Neodiprion lecontei: one gene and its partners. The main gene of each other region encodes a partner of the protein of the gene in region 3 in a complex. Links are inferred from orthologs where the notes say so. Each region holds a gene or a part of one and is shown on either strand. Other genes may lie near its edges. The genes, in order: regulator of MON1-CCZ1 complex, vacuolar fusion protein CCZ1 homolog and vacuolar fusion protein MON1 homolog A.

Region 1 (5,917 bases), on a different chromosome or scaffold from region 3:
CAATTTATCGAATAGTTTGTCGAGTTTTTCTTTGCTGGGTTCGACGAACTGAAAAATGCGGCAGAACAATTACGATTTAATCGATCTTAGCGATACGGATTCAATGATAAAAAATTTTCTACGCATAGTTTACACTTTACGCAATTGATCTTCACCTCGTTATTTCTCGCTAATTCACTCAGTACTTGTTTATTTTCATCAATTGTATTCACTCGTTCAATTAGACCTCCGACCATCATCGCCATTTTGATAATTCTACCAGCTATCACTTTGCCTCTCTGAAGTTGTAGAGATTGGCTTCGGCGACAACGTGAATGTAGCTATTATTGCGTACTTTAAATCAGTTCGTTATGCATTCGGTGAAAAGTTTGTGGATAATGAGAGACGTTCGATTTTTTGTCAACTTGTCATTCGTGGGAACCACAAAGTAATAGTAACTTCGTGATGGGAACGAAAATATACCAGACTTATTCCATGCGGTAATATTCAGTCAATAATAGTAAATTCAAAAACAAATATTTTACATATATTATCCTCATAATAACATATCCCACGGAAATGTTTTTATACAATATTATAATTTACACAACAGAGCTTCAAGCAGCACCATTCTCAACACAGCATTAATTATAATGTATCACAGAACAGTACGAGAAATGAAACGGAATGACCGTAAGATTACAAATAGTTTGCTAGTTCCTTACTTTCTGCATTTTTCTGGTTTTCCATGCATGTTTATCATCCTGTTCACAAATTTCACAAATTCTTGATTGCACTAGTCTTGTGAATTGTGGGCATTGAACAAAAACATAAGCGTGATGATACGCGAATGCTGAGTTAATTATTCCTGATAATTTCAGCCAAACCTTAAGGTAGAGGAAAAAAAAAATAATACCATTTGATTATTTGGTACATAACCATGGCTGTTTCTATTATAACTCGCTATTCAATGCATGACCAAATCAATATGTATAATTGTGTTACGATTAGCAAATAAATTGCGATTCGACCTACGATGACATAGTCGATACATTTGAATTTGTATCTGAATTACAGCCGTTGTCAGTTCCTTGGAATAAATATTTAAAATGCTGTACATATGTTTGACAATGTTCCCCTCTTGTGAAAGCAGTTGTGTTATGGAGTCTCAAATTGCGATTTTCGAAGAACTTATAAACGGAGTGAAACAACTTAGGATCGTTCGAGGTCTTTGCTGCTTCCAAAAATTTGCGAGCAGAAACCTGATCGATTATTCCGACCGATCTGACATACCTGTAATGGAAAGATATGTATTTTCTCCAGGCGGATCACCTTGAAATATGAAATTTCATTTTTACAATTGTAAGATGCATTTTCAAGGGTGTTCAGCTCACCGTAATGCCGGTAATATGTGTCCTTTGGATAGCAAGACTTCCATTATTTCTTCGTGAGCATTTCCTAATCGCTTGAGCATATCTAGCGCAAGTTGGTGAGCAGCTGGATAGAGACTTTCCAAAGACAGTAGAAGACAGGCGAGTGGTTTTGAGTCAGCGACAACGTGATACTGTAGCAACTGATGCAGCTGATAGTAAGCCTTCCGGTGAACCAAAGTCGTGATTACCAATTCATGGAGGTAGTGCTGAACAGGTATATCATGATCGGCCAGAGACCTAAGGAAAAAAAATCGGAGAAAGTTCATTGAGAGATTTTATACCCAGGGAGCTATACGCTGAAAAAAAAAAAAACTCTTTTCAAACTACACTTTTCGTCAAGGCATGTACCTAATGTATTCCAACAGTATCCAAACCACCATTTTTGGCTCTGTCGTGTCCTCGGGAAACTTTGACAATATGTAAGTGTACATATCGCTCTGATCAATTATTTGTTTGTATTTAATGTTTTCTGACACTGTGGCGACACCTTTGGACCCAATTTGCAGCGGCGTTCCCATCTGTCGATTGATCGATAGAAGATGAATGTGCAATGGGTTTTTTATCGCTATTATTCATCACAATGGTCACTTACTTGGCTTTGCAACTCATTTTCGAGGTGGTTACGATAAACAGTGTTCAACTTATCAAAAATCGTTGACATGTACAACAAGCTTGACGGTAGCTGAGTAACATTTTCCTTCACAACTTGCATCAAAACCTGCTTGGAATCATTTCGTTGCATTAAAAACTCAACGAGCAGTACTTTGTCGGGGATTAATTTTACCAACGATTCAAGTCGCAGCTTAACAAACCTGTGAATTAATCGACAACTTCTTTACTCCATGCATCTTTTAAACTCCTAGATTGAAAACAAGTTGAATATTTTTCTCATAAACTTACCAAAGGCATCCTAATTTTGCATCGATTATTATATTTGGTTGAAAAACAACCCAGCCAGGGGAATCTAAGAGAAATTAAGTAAAACGCTTGGTGATCAATGTTGTTATTTTTATAATCATTATCTTTTTTTCAAAAGGATACAAAGTAGACAGGGCTGAGATAATTGCTCTAGCAGAGTCGTGCCAGGGACCTTCAAACTGTATGGTCTTATCGGCTTGGGTGCAGCTATACTGGTATGATGCATCACAGTGCCGTCGCTCACTCCCGGCAATTTAATGTCAAAAATCATCGAAGTCTGTAATTTATCAATCAATTACTCTCGAGATAAAACTCAAAGACTGCCATGTTTCAATGGTAAGAAAAAGTGCTTCGAATTGGTTCACAATCAGTAATGAAAAATGATGCTAAACTGCTTCTATAAAATAAGCAGTACATATCAGCAGATTTATCTCCTACCAGTCAATAGTCTGAAAAAAATACCGTTTTCAAAAAGGTAGTTCTTTGTGAACAAGACTTACTTCGGATGCTTGGTGATGCACAATTATAAGATTGTCGATAACATTGATTGCGAATCGGCCACTAGTGTCGAGTTTTAAAATGTGGCTCTTCTTTATCGTGAGCATTCTGAAACATTGGATCATCAATGAATCATTGAGAGTACTTTGAAAGAGGTAAAATCGGAGAAAAAGCAAATTACAAAATTACTTATGCACTGTGTAGACGTAGACTTGAGCCGTACCAAGGCTTCGATTGATTCCTGGTTGATGGCGCAGCACAATTATTGATGGGGTTCCGTAAAGAACTGCCAACGCTACATCTCTCTCCGAAACTGCGAGCTTCCCAGGTTTCGTGGCTCCAGCCTCCACTGAAACAATGCAATATCTATCTCCGTTAATCGGCTAATCAATCTCCAAAGTTAATCCCGAGAAGTTTGTCTCACTTTCAAATTTGGTGAGCTTGTGCAAGTTTCCAGGAGTGATATGCAGCGCTTGCATTTGGTTGCCGATGGTACCAGACGAGAGGAGAACGAGGTAGCTTTGAGGGCAGAAGACAAACCAATTGACTCCCAAACTGAGGGATTTCAGTGCTTTGACAGTTCGCTTCTCTGGAACCACCTAAAAAATATAGAGTATTATTGATCTAACATCTACACAGACTTATATGGTGCTTTTTACAGTGATCACACATGGAGGAAAAGTAGGTAGAAAAAAATCTCTGCCTGATACTCACCAAAAACAGTTCCACTCCGTGATCTGTGACGAATAAAATTTCATTGCTGTGTGTCCAGACGAAGCCTAAGATAGAGGCATTCTTTCCTTTACAAGTCTGCGAGTATTCCACATTGTCCAATCCGGAGGCCGATGAGTAATTGATGAACTCGACAGAAGTATTAGTCCGTTGTATAGCAAGGATGTTCATGTCGAGCGAGAACTTGATTGAGATTATGGGACCCTTGTCTTCCATTCTGAAATTCAAATTGTGCTCCGGACCCTTGACCAGGACCCCGATAACGCCCTCTGAACGAACAGCGAATACCTACAGCATGAATTTTGCAGCTGTCAAGGGGCTATCAAACGAGGGATAATCCATCATTAATATTTTAGGTTATCAATGCAGTTTAAGAAAATCCAAATAAAGAGACCTGCTTGTTCGTGTCATCGAAGAAAACATTTGTCAACGGGCTGATCGATTCGAATCTCACAGGATCAGGCGACAATTCGAGGTAATAATCATCGTTTCCTTCACTACTTGTTGATTCCATTTTTCGCTATTTGACAGCTCGCAGAAGACTAACACAACCTGATTCACACGTATCAGTAAATTCGCTTACACAGCAAAAGCCACGTCATTGGTTATTTCCAATTTACTCGAAGATACAATTGGCTGAAAACATCAGGGCTCCTGCGACTTGTCATTAACGAAACTACCTATGGATGATGGTCGGTGAGAAAGGTACAACTGCAATCGTCGCTATATGGTAGGTGACGATTTGTGCAATGGTAGCGTCGTCTAGCGGAGATTGAAGATTCTAATAAAACTGGGCCTCATCATCATCACATTCTAATGCCATCATGGTGACAATCGACGTAACCTACGTGTGTTGAAGATCATCCCATAAATTCTGCAATATAGAGGTGAGTCATTGCAAAATATCAACGGTTTTTACGATTAAGTAATGTGGTTCGCCGTTAACGGTTCCGATTAAGTATCGTGGTTACAAATGTCCCGGTACTTGGAGCGTAGGTACAGACTCCGCGATGTTCTAACCTCTAATTGCGATCCCACGACAATTTATTGATGATCACTAATCAACCGGGGAATTTTCAGTTTTCCAATGATTTTTCTTATCCCCATGATAATTTTTCCCAACTATCAGCTTTGTTGCCGTTTAAATAATATCAATATATTTCTAGTCATTTAGTTGTCACAAAGATCGTTCTTATTTCATTCTTACAGTAAACGATACTATAACTTGTATTGAATCGAATGATAATAAAAAAGAACTTCTACAAAACATAGAATATTGCTTGTATACAACGGCGCAATCACAAAATAGGATAAAAATGAATAAATGTTTTTTTCGTTTCATTTATGAAGCTTTGTTCACTCGTTTTCAGATCGTTGTGCAATGGCTGATGAGCAGATGCCAAAAATCCATGAAGGGAAAAACTTTCGTAAACTAACGCTTGTCGAACAAGAGTACATGCGACTTATAGAAGAGAGGAATCTTGAGAGAGTGGCCAGCTTGAAACGAATGCAAAGAAACAACAGATATACCGGTCTAGCGCTAGGAGCATTGGTTCTAGGAATATACGGGTACTCCATGTATGCAGTTCGCCAGGAAAATTTCCTTGATGATTTCGAAGAGCCAGTAAAAACGACAGAATAACAATTATCGTGAAGGCAACGATAATATAGGATTAGATATATTCATAGGTTGTTACGATCTAACATTGAAAAAATATACAGAAAATAATAAGTTCACACCAAAATGACCATTCTAAGATTACCTCCGTTGCCCACAATAAGAGATTTGGTTAAACTGTATCGCCTTCAAGCGCGTAAACAGTTGTCCCAAAACTTTTTAATGGACGAACGTCTCACAGATAAAATCATCAAAACAGCAGGTAGAATAAAAGATGGACATATATTGGAAGTCGGACCTGGACCAGGGGGATTGACGCGATCGATAATGAGAAAGTATCCACAGAGGTTAATAGTAGTTGAGAAAGACAATAGATTTTTGCCTACGTTGCAGCTACTCCAAGAAACATTTCAAAACGTCAATGGCGAAATGGAAATAATCATAGGAGATATATTGAATGTAAATTTGAACTTGTTTCCTGAGTGTGAGAAAAAAAGCTGGGAAGATATTCCACCAAGGATTCATTTGATCGGTAATCTACCATTCAGCGTATCGACTCATCTTATTATCGTCTGGCTTAAAGCTATCTCTGAGAAAAGTGGACCGTGGGCCATGGGAAGAACCAAAATGACACTCACATTTCAAAAGGAAGTTGCTGAACGCCTCGTCTCAGAAGCATACGCTCGGGATCGCTGCAGATTGTCAGTCATGGCACAGACTTGGACCAAACCGCATCTAA
Region 2 (5,312 bases), on a different chromosome or scaffold from region 3:
TGTGCTACTGTCCGAAAAAAAAGTCGAATTGCACACTAAAATCTCACAGTATAGATTTTTCTGAACATTATTACTCTTATAATAAAATTTGTACCAAAACTATGTGGCCAAAACACGTGTATTATAAACGGGGAAATCCATCCTCTTACAGGGAGGATTTAGAATTGAGATAAAAATCTGAAAAAATTAGGGAACTGTTTTTGAATTGTTTGAAGTCGATTTGAAGGGCGGCACGGAAAAAGATCGGCAACACCGTAAATAAGGATCACCCTAATTGTGCACATACATAGTTGAATTGAGACACGCATCGAGCATCAGTTTGATTTGATACAAAATAACATCGAGGGCCTTAGAGATCAAGGGTATGTAGTACTCGCAGACCCTTTGCGTTTATTTGTTTATTCAATATAGGAAGAAAAAGGGGGACTTTCCTCGGTCGGTAAGGATAGGAGTACTACATACCCTTCATTCGCAAACTAAAAATGTAGCCCAGGAGCACCTGTATGTGTTCACATGTTTTCCGCCGTCACATAGGCGAAAGGCACTACTCGACGCGCACAGATTGCCTACATACAGGCAGATTTAAACGCATATACAATAATTTACGATCCTTACACGCGCATTTCAATAATAACGAAATTCAGGAAACAGATATGCGTTAAAAAAACGATCGTCGAGATTCTCAGTGACCCTGTTTTACTGGATCGTAATATTTCCGCAAGCGTGTATGCAGTTAATAAGTTGTACAAAGATCCTTACCTAGAATTGTGAATTGTAACCGGGAGTCCTCGTGAATACTCTTTTGATGCCGTATCATCCTCAAACACTGCTGGTTGCCCATTTGCACTGATTTACACAACTAGACTGCACTGATTTACACTGCTAGACTGCACCGAAGGTCACCGATTGATGGTCATTACGCGAATGCTCTACTTCGGCTGGACGAAGGTCGAGGAAATATACAAACCAGCGTCGAACGAAAATCGCACCGTCAAACTTTGTTGATTCGGCTGTCTCGCGACCTTGTTTTCCCGCTAAACTATCAACCACACCGCATTCCGTAATTATTCCAACGAATACACACTTTATCTGCGATAAGTCAGTACATTATTTCACTTTAAACACAACACACCAACTTCAACTTACACGCGGTTAATTGGATTACATGAACGAAACTCAACGTCAGTCGAATAATAATGAAAATGGCTACTTGATCGTTTGTCACTTGTTTGTCAGAGCTTGCGTATCCCGCCAAAATTTACGAAATGTCGATGCAAGCGCCATCATGGTGAAATCAAGAGTATCAAATTGATCGGTAAGTGCGTCGGTAGGTGAGGTAGTATTTTTCCGACAATTACATGCAGCGAAAATTCGAATTTGCTTACCATAGAAGCACGTTTTGTTGCTGTCATGATATGAATTCCTTTGTTTGACCAAACTTCCGCATCAAATAAGTCGGTATTTACGCTCACAATCAACTCGTCAGCAGCGGAGATTCTTCATCCGGATCAATCAGACCACCTTTCGTTAAATATTCCAACGTGTAGAGTCATAAGTATGTGCTGGATTCGTAAGTCGCAGATCACTCACTGTTGGAGCACTGTCGAGACGTCTCACACCGAACAACACACCGAACACGTTGACTGACCTAACTTCAGTGAGCCGATATTCTCCTTGTTCAAACTTGGAGTCTGTATTGAAAATGGCGACTTAGACAGCCAGCGCCACTGACGGACATTTTACAAACTACGAAAGCAATGATGATTTTCACTTTCTTGGTCGGCATCTATTTTAACAACAGTTTACGGAATAAACCACGGACTTAGCATGGACCGTGGAATAAACTAGTCTCATAATCAGTTTCCAACTAGCTGTCAGAATTCTCTCTGACAGAGCGTTGATTGGTGTTGATAGGAGCGATATAGCGTTAAATTTTATTTAATAATAATATGATATACGTCGAATTATTTTGTTAGCGTCGAATTAATTTATCCATAGCTGTACCGCTAATCTGAATCAACTGAAATGACATCGAAGACTGAAATTACGTTGGAACATTTTTATATTTTCAATGGAACATACGCAAAGAAGGAAGGAGAGGTAAGAATTTTGTCAGTATTATTTGTCGTCGAAGTATTTCTGGTCTTAAATTTAACTCGAGTTTAATTTCTCTTCCTTCTTTAGACACAATTGCACAAAAACACTATCGACATGTATTTGTCTGTACAGATGACTAAAGCTCGTGATGATAAACGATTTTTGTGACTCACAAATTATCATATCAGAGAACATGTGCACTAGAAAAATCCAGTTACTGAAATGTTATTCAATTATTTATAGTATACCATTACGGAACAGTGAATCAATATTTATTTTATTTTAATTTTAAGCATGAATTTTTTTATTAAAGTTCATTAATTTACACCTCTTATTATTTTAGGAAGAGAAAAAGATTCTGTACTATTATCCAGTTTCAACGGATTCGGAAACACAAATAAAAAATATCGGACTTGGAGAGGCGATCATTAAATTTACCCAGTAAGTAAACAATAAGAATCAGTGTTGAAATAGTCGATGTTTACTACTGGATAATCAAAGTTTTCTTTTAATCGACAGATCCTTCAGCCCCGGACAAACATGTGATTACTGTCATACTCACAAAACCCGACAAATCTATTTCGAACCCGAGCCAGATTTCTGGATGGTTATGGTATTTGTTTTCTCATTCTTACAATATCCTACACGTGCTTTCAACTCAATTGTATCAATCACTTGGTTTTTTAATCCCCGCAGATTGTAGGCATACCTTATCTTTGGAAGACCAAAGACGATACGGAATATATTGAGTATCAGCATGACGAAGTATCGAGCAGCGTATGTCAAGCGATCCTAAAACAAACTTACGCCATGTTCAAACTGTTCATGGGCTCTTTTAATACCATTTTAAATGACCCTGATTGCGGTTCAGTTCTTTTATTAAAGCATAAACTGGATCACTTTTACTCAAGGGTAATTAACGATGAAGTCACATTTTTTCTCCAACCCAACTTTGATCGATAAATTTTATTTTTACCATTTCATTTCAGTACCTGCCATCTCTGAAATTGAACAACAGTGACATTTTAGATGTTTTTCAAGGCTTGCAATTTTTACCATTAGACAAGACGACGTTTCTCCACGTTCAATGTTTTATGAATCTCGTCGAAGCAATGTTTTCTCAAGTAAAATACACCGCTTTCCTATACAATGATCAACTAGTCTGGTGAGTAAAGCAGTGATAAGCAAAGGTATCGATTACACTAGAGACAAAGTTCGAACAATTTTTTCGACTAGACGATCGATAAAAAATATTGCTTTTATTAGGAGCGGGCTGGAGCCTCAAGACATGCAAGTTGTTTACAACTATTTAGTAAGCACATTGTTACCAGCTCACCTTGAAACTGAATTACATGGTGGATCCATGCCCCGTAATTCTCCATCCCCGTTCACAACCTCGCACTACGGAAAGTGAGTTTCGACTCTTCACAATCAGAGAATTTGCAAACAAAACGCACCATTAGTCTTGATTATTATTGATCACGCAATAAACATCAATCTTTGAATTTTGTATTTCAGGTTCGTAACAGGTCCTAGCAGCATTAATGAACCCAGTGGAATAGGCAAATTACCCAAAGTGTTCATAAATTATTCCACAACGCCAGTTTCCCTGTATTTAGTAGTGTATCGTGCACTGAGTGCAACGATATGTTTATTTGTGGACAGTAAGTATACTTCGACAGTACTTTGCAGTAAAATTATTCACAACTGTTGAACAATGCAAACGTTAGATACTCTTGCTAATTTGTATATATTCGTTAAAGGCAAGACCAGCTTGCTTATGGATCTTTTTAAAAGCCTCGACACGTTTCTCGGGCCCCAATTAACCACGCTGGTCAGTCTGGTGGCGGAACAGTGTTCAAAGCACGTGTCATTCAGCGCTGAATCATGCCCGAAGTATTTGTACTTCAACAAGCTGAATTTAGCCTATAAAAGCACGATTCATTTGGATAATAGACGCTGTTCTAACGTATTAACGACACCTGAAGTGCTACGGATAATAACTGATATAAATAATGATACAAAAAAGTATGTAAACATAAATCAAACTTTTCATGCACACAGCTTTACCAATGAGCCTTGATGATATTTCAGATTCAAAGAAGCTGGCGAAATCGTGATAAAAACAATGAGCGAATACTGGGTTGTTGGCAAATTATCGAACTTGAGAGAATTTTTTGTTGTTACGCAACAGAAAAATGCTAATTTAATTGAAATTGATGGTGCGTATAAAAGTGAATAGCAAATTTTTCAAAATGCATTAACAAAATTGAGTTTCAAGCATTATATTTAATAATCAACATACACGATCATTTCAGATGAAGTAAGGCGACTCTGTGATCAACAATTGAAAAGTATATTCTTCCACTAGTGTCAATGATCAATCAGGTACGGTTCTAACATTGAGTTGGCAATCAGAGTCCACGATCAAATTAATTGCTAACTAATATTTTCTGAACCTTTGAACATTTCGGTTGACTTAATATCATCCAACAATCTGCTTGATTATACGTTTATGTATAATTATACAGTCGGATTGACAGGTATATACAAATGTATATAGGTCATAGTGGATTACCTCACCTGTGCTGTACAGCAACATGTAATATAGTAGATAACAAAAATATTCAAAAAATAATACCTATTTACATCACAGTGCAATAAAACTGTACTGACATTAGCTCGGACTCTACAAATTTCTAATTTACGAGGTAAATATTTTTTCCGTTGTTATTTTTATCATAAAAAACGGGGCAACTTTTATAGAGTTATCCTGAAACTGCCTAAAACGTATGACTGACGGTCATTTATAAAATTTCTATAATCAAAATGATGCAAAACATTGGAGTCACTGATTTGCTTTCGTGTATACGATTAGTTTATTCAGATGTAGCGTCATCATCCTCCACAATCTCTTGCTTAACAACCATATTCGAAAACTTTTTCAATTTAGCAACAAAAAATCCGTCCATGTTATGCGTATGGGGATAGAAACGTCTGGTCAATTTAAGAGTCGGGTGAAACCTGTGATGTCGATAGTTTGTAAAGCCTTCCTCACCAAAATCTAAACCAGTTGGTACAAGTTTCACGTCTCGTTTCTTCAAAGCATAATCAACTATCCACTCGTTTTCCTCTGGAAGAATTGAACATGTTGAATAGACGATAATGCCTCCGGTGTCGGAACGTGCATTGACGCTGTCTATGGCAGCCAATAA
Region 3 (6,075 bases):
TCCCTCATCTATATTACCATTAATTGGAAGTGATAAACAAATGATTTAATTGTTTCAGAGGGAAAAATATCCGCACTCGAGGACGACATGGATGAGGGAATTGAGTCTTCAGATGACGAAGATGTGCCCGTAGTAAAGGAGGAAGTTCGTAAACGTACAGAAGACTTTGAAAGAGAGCGTCACAGGGATCGAGAAAAGAGACATGCTCGCCCTGAGAAAAAAGTAGAAAGGGAGAAACGGCGGTCCAGAAGTAGGGAGCGGGAAAGAGACAGGAGGGAACGTAAACGAAGCAAATCTCCTAAACTGTATTCCTCATCATCACACAAAGATAAAGATCGTGATAAGGATAGGCACAGAAGGGACGACAGGGAGAAAGAAAGAGATCGAGATCGTCGGAGAGAACGAGAGCGGCCTAGGCACTAACACACCTCACTATGAGAGAATACAAATTTACAATGAAAAATTAATACCAAATTGTCATTTCTGTAAGTAACTTCATATTTGTATGACTAACGAGATCAACTTGTACACCTTGATCATTAAAAGAATTCTGTGTCATAACAATATTGAAAAGGGATTCATCATTCTAGCGAAAGATTCTGTAATTAGCATAAAAATGATTTGAAATACATCATTTCATACATATGTTTTTTGTTATATCTTTGTTCTCAAGTTGCCAGAGCTTAAAATAAAACGATAACTGTACTTAGCTAATTACAGTTTAATAATATTAAAATTACATAATTTTTTTAACTAACTGCTACATAGTAGCTTACTCGAACATTGTTTCAGTGGAGTGTGAGTATCCACGATACTCGGGTATCGAATTAATTGGGAAAGCTATTTAGTACTACAGATTGTGGATCATTTCATGTTTTATGCTTGTATACGAATAACCGACATTGAAAAATTCGGTTTCATACATTTTTTAGAATGTACAGATTGGTTCAAAACATTGCAATAGCATTGCAAATTCTTTTTGGATTTTCGAGATATCAAAGGTAAAAACAGTGCATAATCATAAAAGAATATTTTCTTAACATGGCCATAATGCCACTGAATTGCATAAGTCGGTAATATCTAAATAACCGATATTTCATCTATTTTATGCGATATTTACATATTTTAAGTTTGTATTACTTTGTAATAAAGTAACTACCAAATCTCAAATTTCATAATTATAAATAGTGAGCAAAATATAGTATACAATATACACTTAAAGATACGAAGGAATGGGCGATTAGTCGTGCAATTAGTCACGTATAAGACTCCTATATTTAGGGAGCTTCTAGGGAATACAATTCTCGGATGCGTCAAAAATAGGTTTTTCGATCGCAAATATACGGATGGAGGAAATCGTCTCAAAAATAAATATTTCCATCAACCGAAATCAAATTGAACATGATTTGCTGCATTTCTTAAATCTTAACGTACCTAGTCATAGCCTTTTGAAATTATACATTCTACGTTATATTACCTTTCTTCCTTCCCAATTTTTACAATTTTCATACATCGTCGATACCAAAACTTTGAAAAAAAAATTTCTTGCAGCACATTTACAGTTACTACAGTGCAACAGCTGAGACATTTGAGCCTTTTTTGTCCATAATTTCAAATTCTTGCTAGAACGTTGGTGAATTCAATATAAATAATCTTTCTTCTTCCTTCTTTATCCATTTCAGCAATTTGCTTACAGAATTTATCGCATCTGGTTTAGTCACCAGTGGTTCAAAAGTCAAATACAATTCGAAACCTGACGTTACCTGAAAAAAATCAGAGCTGAATTGCAAATCTTGTCACAAATGAAATATGAATATTCATACTAATACTAGTGCGTTATTGATACTAGTAATCATTGAAGCAAATGTTTTAAATACTTTAAACAAATTATTTTACACCTTACCCAAGCTAACATTGTTTCTTTGTCCAATTGTTGGAATATCAACTTCAGTGGTCGATTTGGGGCATGCAGTCTGTGATGAAGGCACTGATAGAGTCCCAATAGTCTGAAATTTATAATAAAAATATTAACGCACTGCTAAAAATCATATTATTTTTTTTTTAATACAAAAATTTACCGTTCGATTTCTTCATCAGTTGTATATGGCGGTTGAAAACCAGGACTCCAGAATTGTGCCGTACTTTTACATTTGTACAAGACATGTCGCATCTCAGGTAAACCAATTTCTGCTGTTGTGATGGATGCTTTGTTCATTGACTCATTGATTGCTTCCAAACAATTTGTCCTTCGTAATTTCTCAACTATTTTCTGATGAGAAATTAGCAAGATATGATAATCAATAATAGATCATCTTCTTCAATGAATTCATAAGAGTTTGCTTACTTGCTTGGCATCCGATAGAGAATAGAACACGTCTTTGTCGACAGTCAGAAGTAATAAACAAGCTTGGCAATCCTCTGCCAGGTACGAAACATGACCGTGCATAAACCCATTGGAATCAAACTTGGGCAAACATATTGGCGTCCAGCTTTCTACCGTTTTGAACGACTCCGAGCTGGCGACCAAATTTTGGATCAAATGTAAGTCAGCAGGGTGTATGAAATATTTTTTCATTCTGACCAATGTTACCAGCTGATTATTAGCCAGTAGTATCGCAAACACCAGATTCTGAAATTTTTTTTATCAGTGAGCTCATTGTTATTTTTATCCCATGTAAGTTTTATATAAATTTTGCTATAAGACAGGTAGATAAATAGATATTTTTATTTTATCCATAGCAATGCTGGATAAGATGGAGAATCAAAGCAAGTATAGATGACACAATGAAGAAGAAATAAAATGAAGATTTACAACACAGGGAGTACTACAAACAAAATGATAATAAAAGACAGGCTTGATAAGAGAGACAAATATAGAACGTTACGTTTTTGAATCACTCAAGGTACACAAACACTGTGCTTCCTCACCTTAATTTTGCCACAAGTTTGAACAATGGTTTGACTAATAGCATCCCTCATGGAGGGCAACAAAGGCAAGCACTTAATAGCACCTAGAAAAAAGGCTGGCTCTTTATCCATAAAATTCAACAAATGATCGATTAACCTCTCGCTGCCTGTCAATAATCTTCGCAAATCAAAGTTTCGCCTCTGTTCGTAAACCCTCGTCAGTTGAGATTGCGTGAGGACGGAAACTATTTGATTATACACATATCTGTAAGCAAATTTTAGGTCTATTGAATGGGTTCAATGAAAACAGTCAGTGAACAATATGAACTGGGATATTAAAAAGAAAATAAACTTATTTCTATTTTCACACATAATTAGAAATACCGATATCTTGAGGAAAATAAGTATCATGACTCTGTAATAAAGGATTGCATATTGTAAGAATGAATTCTGCAATAAACTCACGTTAGCTGTAAAACTAGCTGCGGCACACTTTCCAGTGTTTTAGACACAGTGACTAAGATAAGTGGACCTTTGACAACGAAAACGAAATTAGTATCGCCCGCGTGGACCGATCTGATCATGTCGTTACCAGCTTGAACGAATGAAACTAACGCCTGCATAACGCCCATAAGTGTGACGAGTTTATCCTCGGAGCTGTGCCTCGAGTAAATGGGTTTTCCCGCCTGGCTCAGTATGAATATATGCTTTCTCTGTGCTAGCCACGTCGTGTTCCTCAGTGGGTCAATTTCCAGACTATTCAAACTGAGCTGCTGCGTGTTGTCCTCCTAAAAAATGGGAAATCTGCGTACTGAGCAATTTGAATTCGACCCCTCCTGTCAGGTTAGAGGTTAGGAGACTCACGAGCTCCAAATCGTCGGGAGGTTCAGGCTTTGGCTCCGTGGGGCTGACCGCCGTTGGCGTCGGCGGGGCCTCTCGAATGTCCTCCTGGAGTTCGGATATCGTGCTAGTCGTGCTTTCCTTCATTTGCCTGTCGTCTATGCTGTTGCTCATTTCCTGCTCGTATTCCTCGAAACTATCAGTCGTCACTAGCATCGTCTCGGCCGAAGCCCCAGGCTCGATTCCTGGCTCGGCTATAACGTCGTCGACACCAGGTGCCTCGGGATTGGCCATTTTTACGCTAATTTAATTAGTCGACTCACGGTTCACACTTTTCCTACAAAATTGACGTTTGTCAATCATCAGCCGGCCATGACAGCGCGGCCAACATGTTTGCGACCAGCATTACGTCGTCGCTGTTATCTTTATGCACGTCGCCCACTGGGAGCCCCTGGAATTGCGCACCGCTGCCAACGCCATGCAACGACTTGACAAAATATCCCTAGATTATCAGCGGGAATATATCAATCGGTTCGAACTCCGTCCTTGGAGCAAAAGCTGTGTCCAACGCAAAATTAAAATTCAATTACGTATAATTGTCAAACAAATATTTGAAACGTATGGATCGAATAAAGAATTCTGTCACTCAATTCTTACTTCAGTCATTTGCATGCGTGCGGGAAATTCTTTGACATACAATAGCCGTTATATCGATGATTCGTACACAATATCCTTGACTGAAAATTGCGTAATGTGCGGACGAAAAATTACAAAAAAAACGCGCACCTACATTATCAGTATGCATATGGATATTTTTATTTTCAATCGCGTTTTCAGAAGAGTTATCAGAAACTTTTGAAATTACTGTGTCTGAAACTGATTAATCATAACCTGCTGATTATCACTATGTATGCACAAGTCAAATATATTACATGCAAAAAATTATCGAAAACAACTTATAGGCATGTGACAGGAATTTCTGGAACTTACTTATTTATCACAATATCAATTCGTATATAAATGTTACATATGTTTGTCAACTTCAGTGTGGTTAGGAAGAAACATAATCTCGTTTCAAAAGTTTTGGAACTATTCTTCAAGGTTCCCTTGCCTGAAAATAAAACTTGGAAGACGCCTTGAGCATTCATAAATTCTTCTTATTGATTCAATGAAGCTTTTACATGCCGATCGAAACTCTTTATTCGTGAATGCGATGACATACCAATAGATTTTAATACTGAGCATAATTATCTATGTTAAAAATTCATACAAGACGGGTAAGATTTTTGGATTTCTATTTAATCTCCCGATTATGAGTATCATAAAGTTGAATAAGACACAGAGATTAAGTCTTTTTGGGATGTTGTAACACTGTATTTGACGATAAGTGGCTGTAGCTTATATGACGCTGGTAGATTTTCTGTACTGTCCAAAATGCTCCAAATATTGCTGTATGGTATCCATAGGTTGATAAATCTCATTCATTCGATTCTGTAACATGTTTTAAACAAATTACAACAATTCACTTGATCCCGTAGTTATAAATTGCCAGGGGTTTATTTTCAAATTCCAGTCGTAAAAAGGAGAGTCGTATATATATTATCTTCGTTTATCTTACTTGTAAATACTGAGGAGCTTGATTCGGTACAGCTGATCCGAGGAAACCTTGTAGAAATTCTCTCATCAACTCCCACGAGCTACCCGGAATGACGCAGGGCCGATATTCGACCTGTGAAAGATTTTTTATTCAAATCTGTTATTATGAATTATTTCTCAGGATGACACGATCATTTTTTAAGATGAAGCGAACCATTGGGCAAAAAAAAAAGTGAAGAAAAATCCCCCCGAAGCGTAATGTTTCGATCAAAAGAAATTATTTTATAAACATACATAGAAGGCGATCGATAAATGGGGTTCGATGAACCGTATGATAGAAATTTAATACAGGAGAAATGTTATTACGTCAGCTTGAAGAAAACAATGATATTCGCGCACCTTTTGACTTCGTTTCTAACTTATTCTTAAATCAACAGAACCTTCATAGCGTTGGCGTAATTCGCCGGTTGTGTGTAATGCAGAAATATTGATTTAGCCAAATGAATGCTCAACGTTGTTCAGAGGCTTGAAAATTTATCCTACGACGCAGAGACGTCAATGGGACTAAATATTTAGATTTAAAGAAGATTTCTGTTATGAACCTCGGTTTAACCGCCAATCTGCTGATTAGTATAACACCCAGGGAGCTGCGTAACCGCGTCGTAGAATTCCACGTAGAGAGATTAAAGCTCGCGGACTTTTCATCGGCTTGATATGAACGTGACGACATTT

The links.
Region 1: the proteins of vacuolar fusion protein MON1 homolog A (region 3) and regulator of MON1-CCZ1 complex are in contact, whole or in part, in a cryo-EM structure (PDB 8JBE), measured with the Drosophila melanogaster proteins. The link is inferred for Neodiprion lecontei from reciprocal best matches to the Drosophila melanogaster genes Mon1 and Bulli. Residues at the interface, in NP_608868.1 of Drosophila melanogaster: Pro416, Glu417, Arg419, His438, Pro439, Glu445, Arg448, Met473, Lys474, Glu475, Arg476, Glu494, Pro495, Val496; in NP_648047.2 of Drosophila melanogaster: Ile561, Arg565, Lys568, Asp590, Leu592, His595, Ser596, Arg599, Phe600, Met603, Phe631, Pro632.
Region 2: the proteins of vacuolar fusion protein MON1 homolog A (region 3) and vacuolar fusion protein CCZ1 homolog are in contact, whole or in part, in a cryo-EM structure (PDB 8JBE), measured with the Drosophila melanogaster proteins. The link is inferred for Neodiprion lecontei from reciprocal best matches to the Drosophila melanogaster genes Mon1 and Ccz1. Residues at the interface, in NP_608868.1 of Drosophila melanogaster: Trp112, Gln113, Phe120, Leu142, Val145, Ile146, Leu149, Phe152, Val153, Gln157, Asp158, Ala159, Ile160, Thr161, Ser162, Ile163, His164, Ala165, Gly166, Ile168, Phe170, Phe172, Arg185, Arg459, Ser464, Arg465, Pro466, Leu467, Lys468, Leu469; in NP_647835.1 of Drosophila melanogaster: Lys48, Gly51, Leu52, Ile56, Phe59, Thr60, Thr62, Phe63, Thr64, Asp68, Cys69, Gln70, Ala71, Leu72, His73, Thr74, Gln75, Lys76, Thr77, Ala114, Glu115, Ala412, Asp413, Asn416, Pro427, Ala428, Glu429, Glu430, Val431, Gln432.

The regions. Positions count from the first base shown.
Region 1 is NC_060263.1:20,634,350-20,640,266, reverse strand, and holds regulator of MON1-CCZ1 complex, read right to left. Parts: upstream 4,256-5,917; 5' UTR 4,075-4,255; coding exon 3,955-4,074; intron 3,880-3,954; exon of another isoform or gene 3,849-3,879; coding exon 3,543-3,848; intron 3,428-3,542; coding exon 3,253-3,427; intron 3,178-3,252; coding exon 3,018-3,177; intron 2,937-3,017; coding exon 2,831-2,936; intron 2,608-2,830; coding exon 2,454-2,607; intron 2,377-2,453; coding exon 2,313-2,376; intron 2,225-2,312; coding exon 2,005-2,224; intron 1,931-2,004; coding exon 1,761-1,930; intron 1,650-1,760; coding exon 1,374-1,649; intron 1,273-1,373; coding exon 1,015-1,272; intron 867-1,014; coding exon 857-866; 3' UTR 505-856; downstream 1-504. Other genes in the region: transcriptional regulator ATRX-like, read right to left, coding at 1-48, 156-245; cytochrome c oxidase assembly factor 3, mitochondrial, read left to right, coding at 4,942-5,202; dimethyladenosine transferase 1, mitochondrial, read left to right, coding at 5,305-5,917. UniProt on the Drosophila melanogaster protein: Positive regulator of the Rab7 guanyl-nucleotide exchange activity of the Mon1-Ccz1 complex, possibly by enhancing its endosomal membrane association.
Region 2 is NC_060261.1:2,310,843-2,316,154, reverse strand, and holds vacuolar fusion protein CCZ1 homolog, read left to right. Parts: upstream 1-1,825; 5' UTR 1,826-2,025; coding exon 2,026-2,100; intron 2,101-2,440; coding exon 2,441-2,538; intron 2,539-2,598; coding exon 2,599-2,710; intron 2,711-2,793; coding exon 2,794-3,009; intron 3,010-3,086; coding exon 3,087-3,262; intron 3,263-3,363; coding exon 3,364-3,507; intron 3,508-3,615; coding exon 3,616-3,761; intron 3,762-3,860; coding exon 3,861-4,125; intron 4,126-4,191; coding exon 4,192-4,319; intron 4,320-4,415; coding exon 4,416-4,468; 3' UTR 4,469-4,777; downstream 4,778-5,312. Other genes in the region: probable 28S rRNA (cytosine(4447)-C(5))-methyltransferase, read right to left, coding at 4,977-5,312. UniProt on the Drosophila melanogaster protein: Part of the Mon1-Ccz1 guanyl-nucleotide exchange factor complex specific for Rab7 that promotes the exchange of GDP to GTP, converting Rab7 from an inactive GDP-bound form into an active GTP-bound form.
Region 3 is NC_060260.1:35,646,399-35,652,473, forward strand, and holds vacuolar fusion protein MON1 homolog A, read right to left. Parts: upstream 4,174-6,075; 5' UTR 4,042-4,173; coding exon 3,772-4,041; intron 3,696-3,771; coding exon 3,373-3,695; intron 3,173-3,372; coding exon 2,929-3,172; intron 2,630-2,928; coding exon 2,345-2,629; intron 2,270-2,344; coding exon 2,079-2,269; intron 2,007-2,078; coding exon 1,904-2,006; intron 1,764-1,903; coding exon 1,623-1,763; 3' UTR 585-1,622; downstream 1-584. Other genes in the region: pre-mRNA-splicing factor 38A, read left to right, coding at 59-423; mediator of RNA polymerase II transcription subunit 20, read right to left, coding at 5,146-5,238, 5,366-5,476. UniProt on the Drosophila melanogaster protein: Part of the Mon1-Ccz1 guanyl-nucleotide exchange factor complex specific for Rab7 that promotes the exchange of GDP to GTP, converting Rab7 from an inactive GDP-bound form into an active GTP-bound form.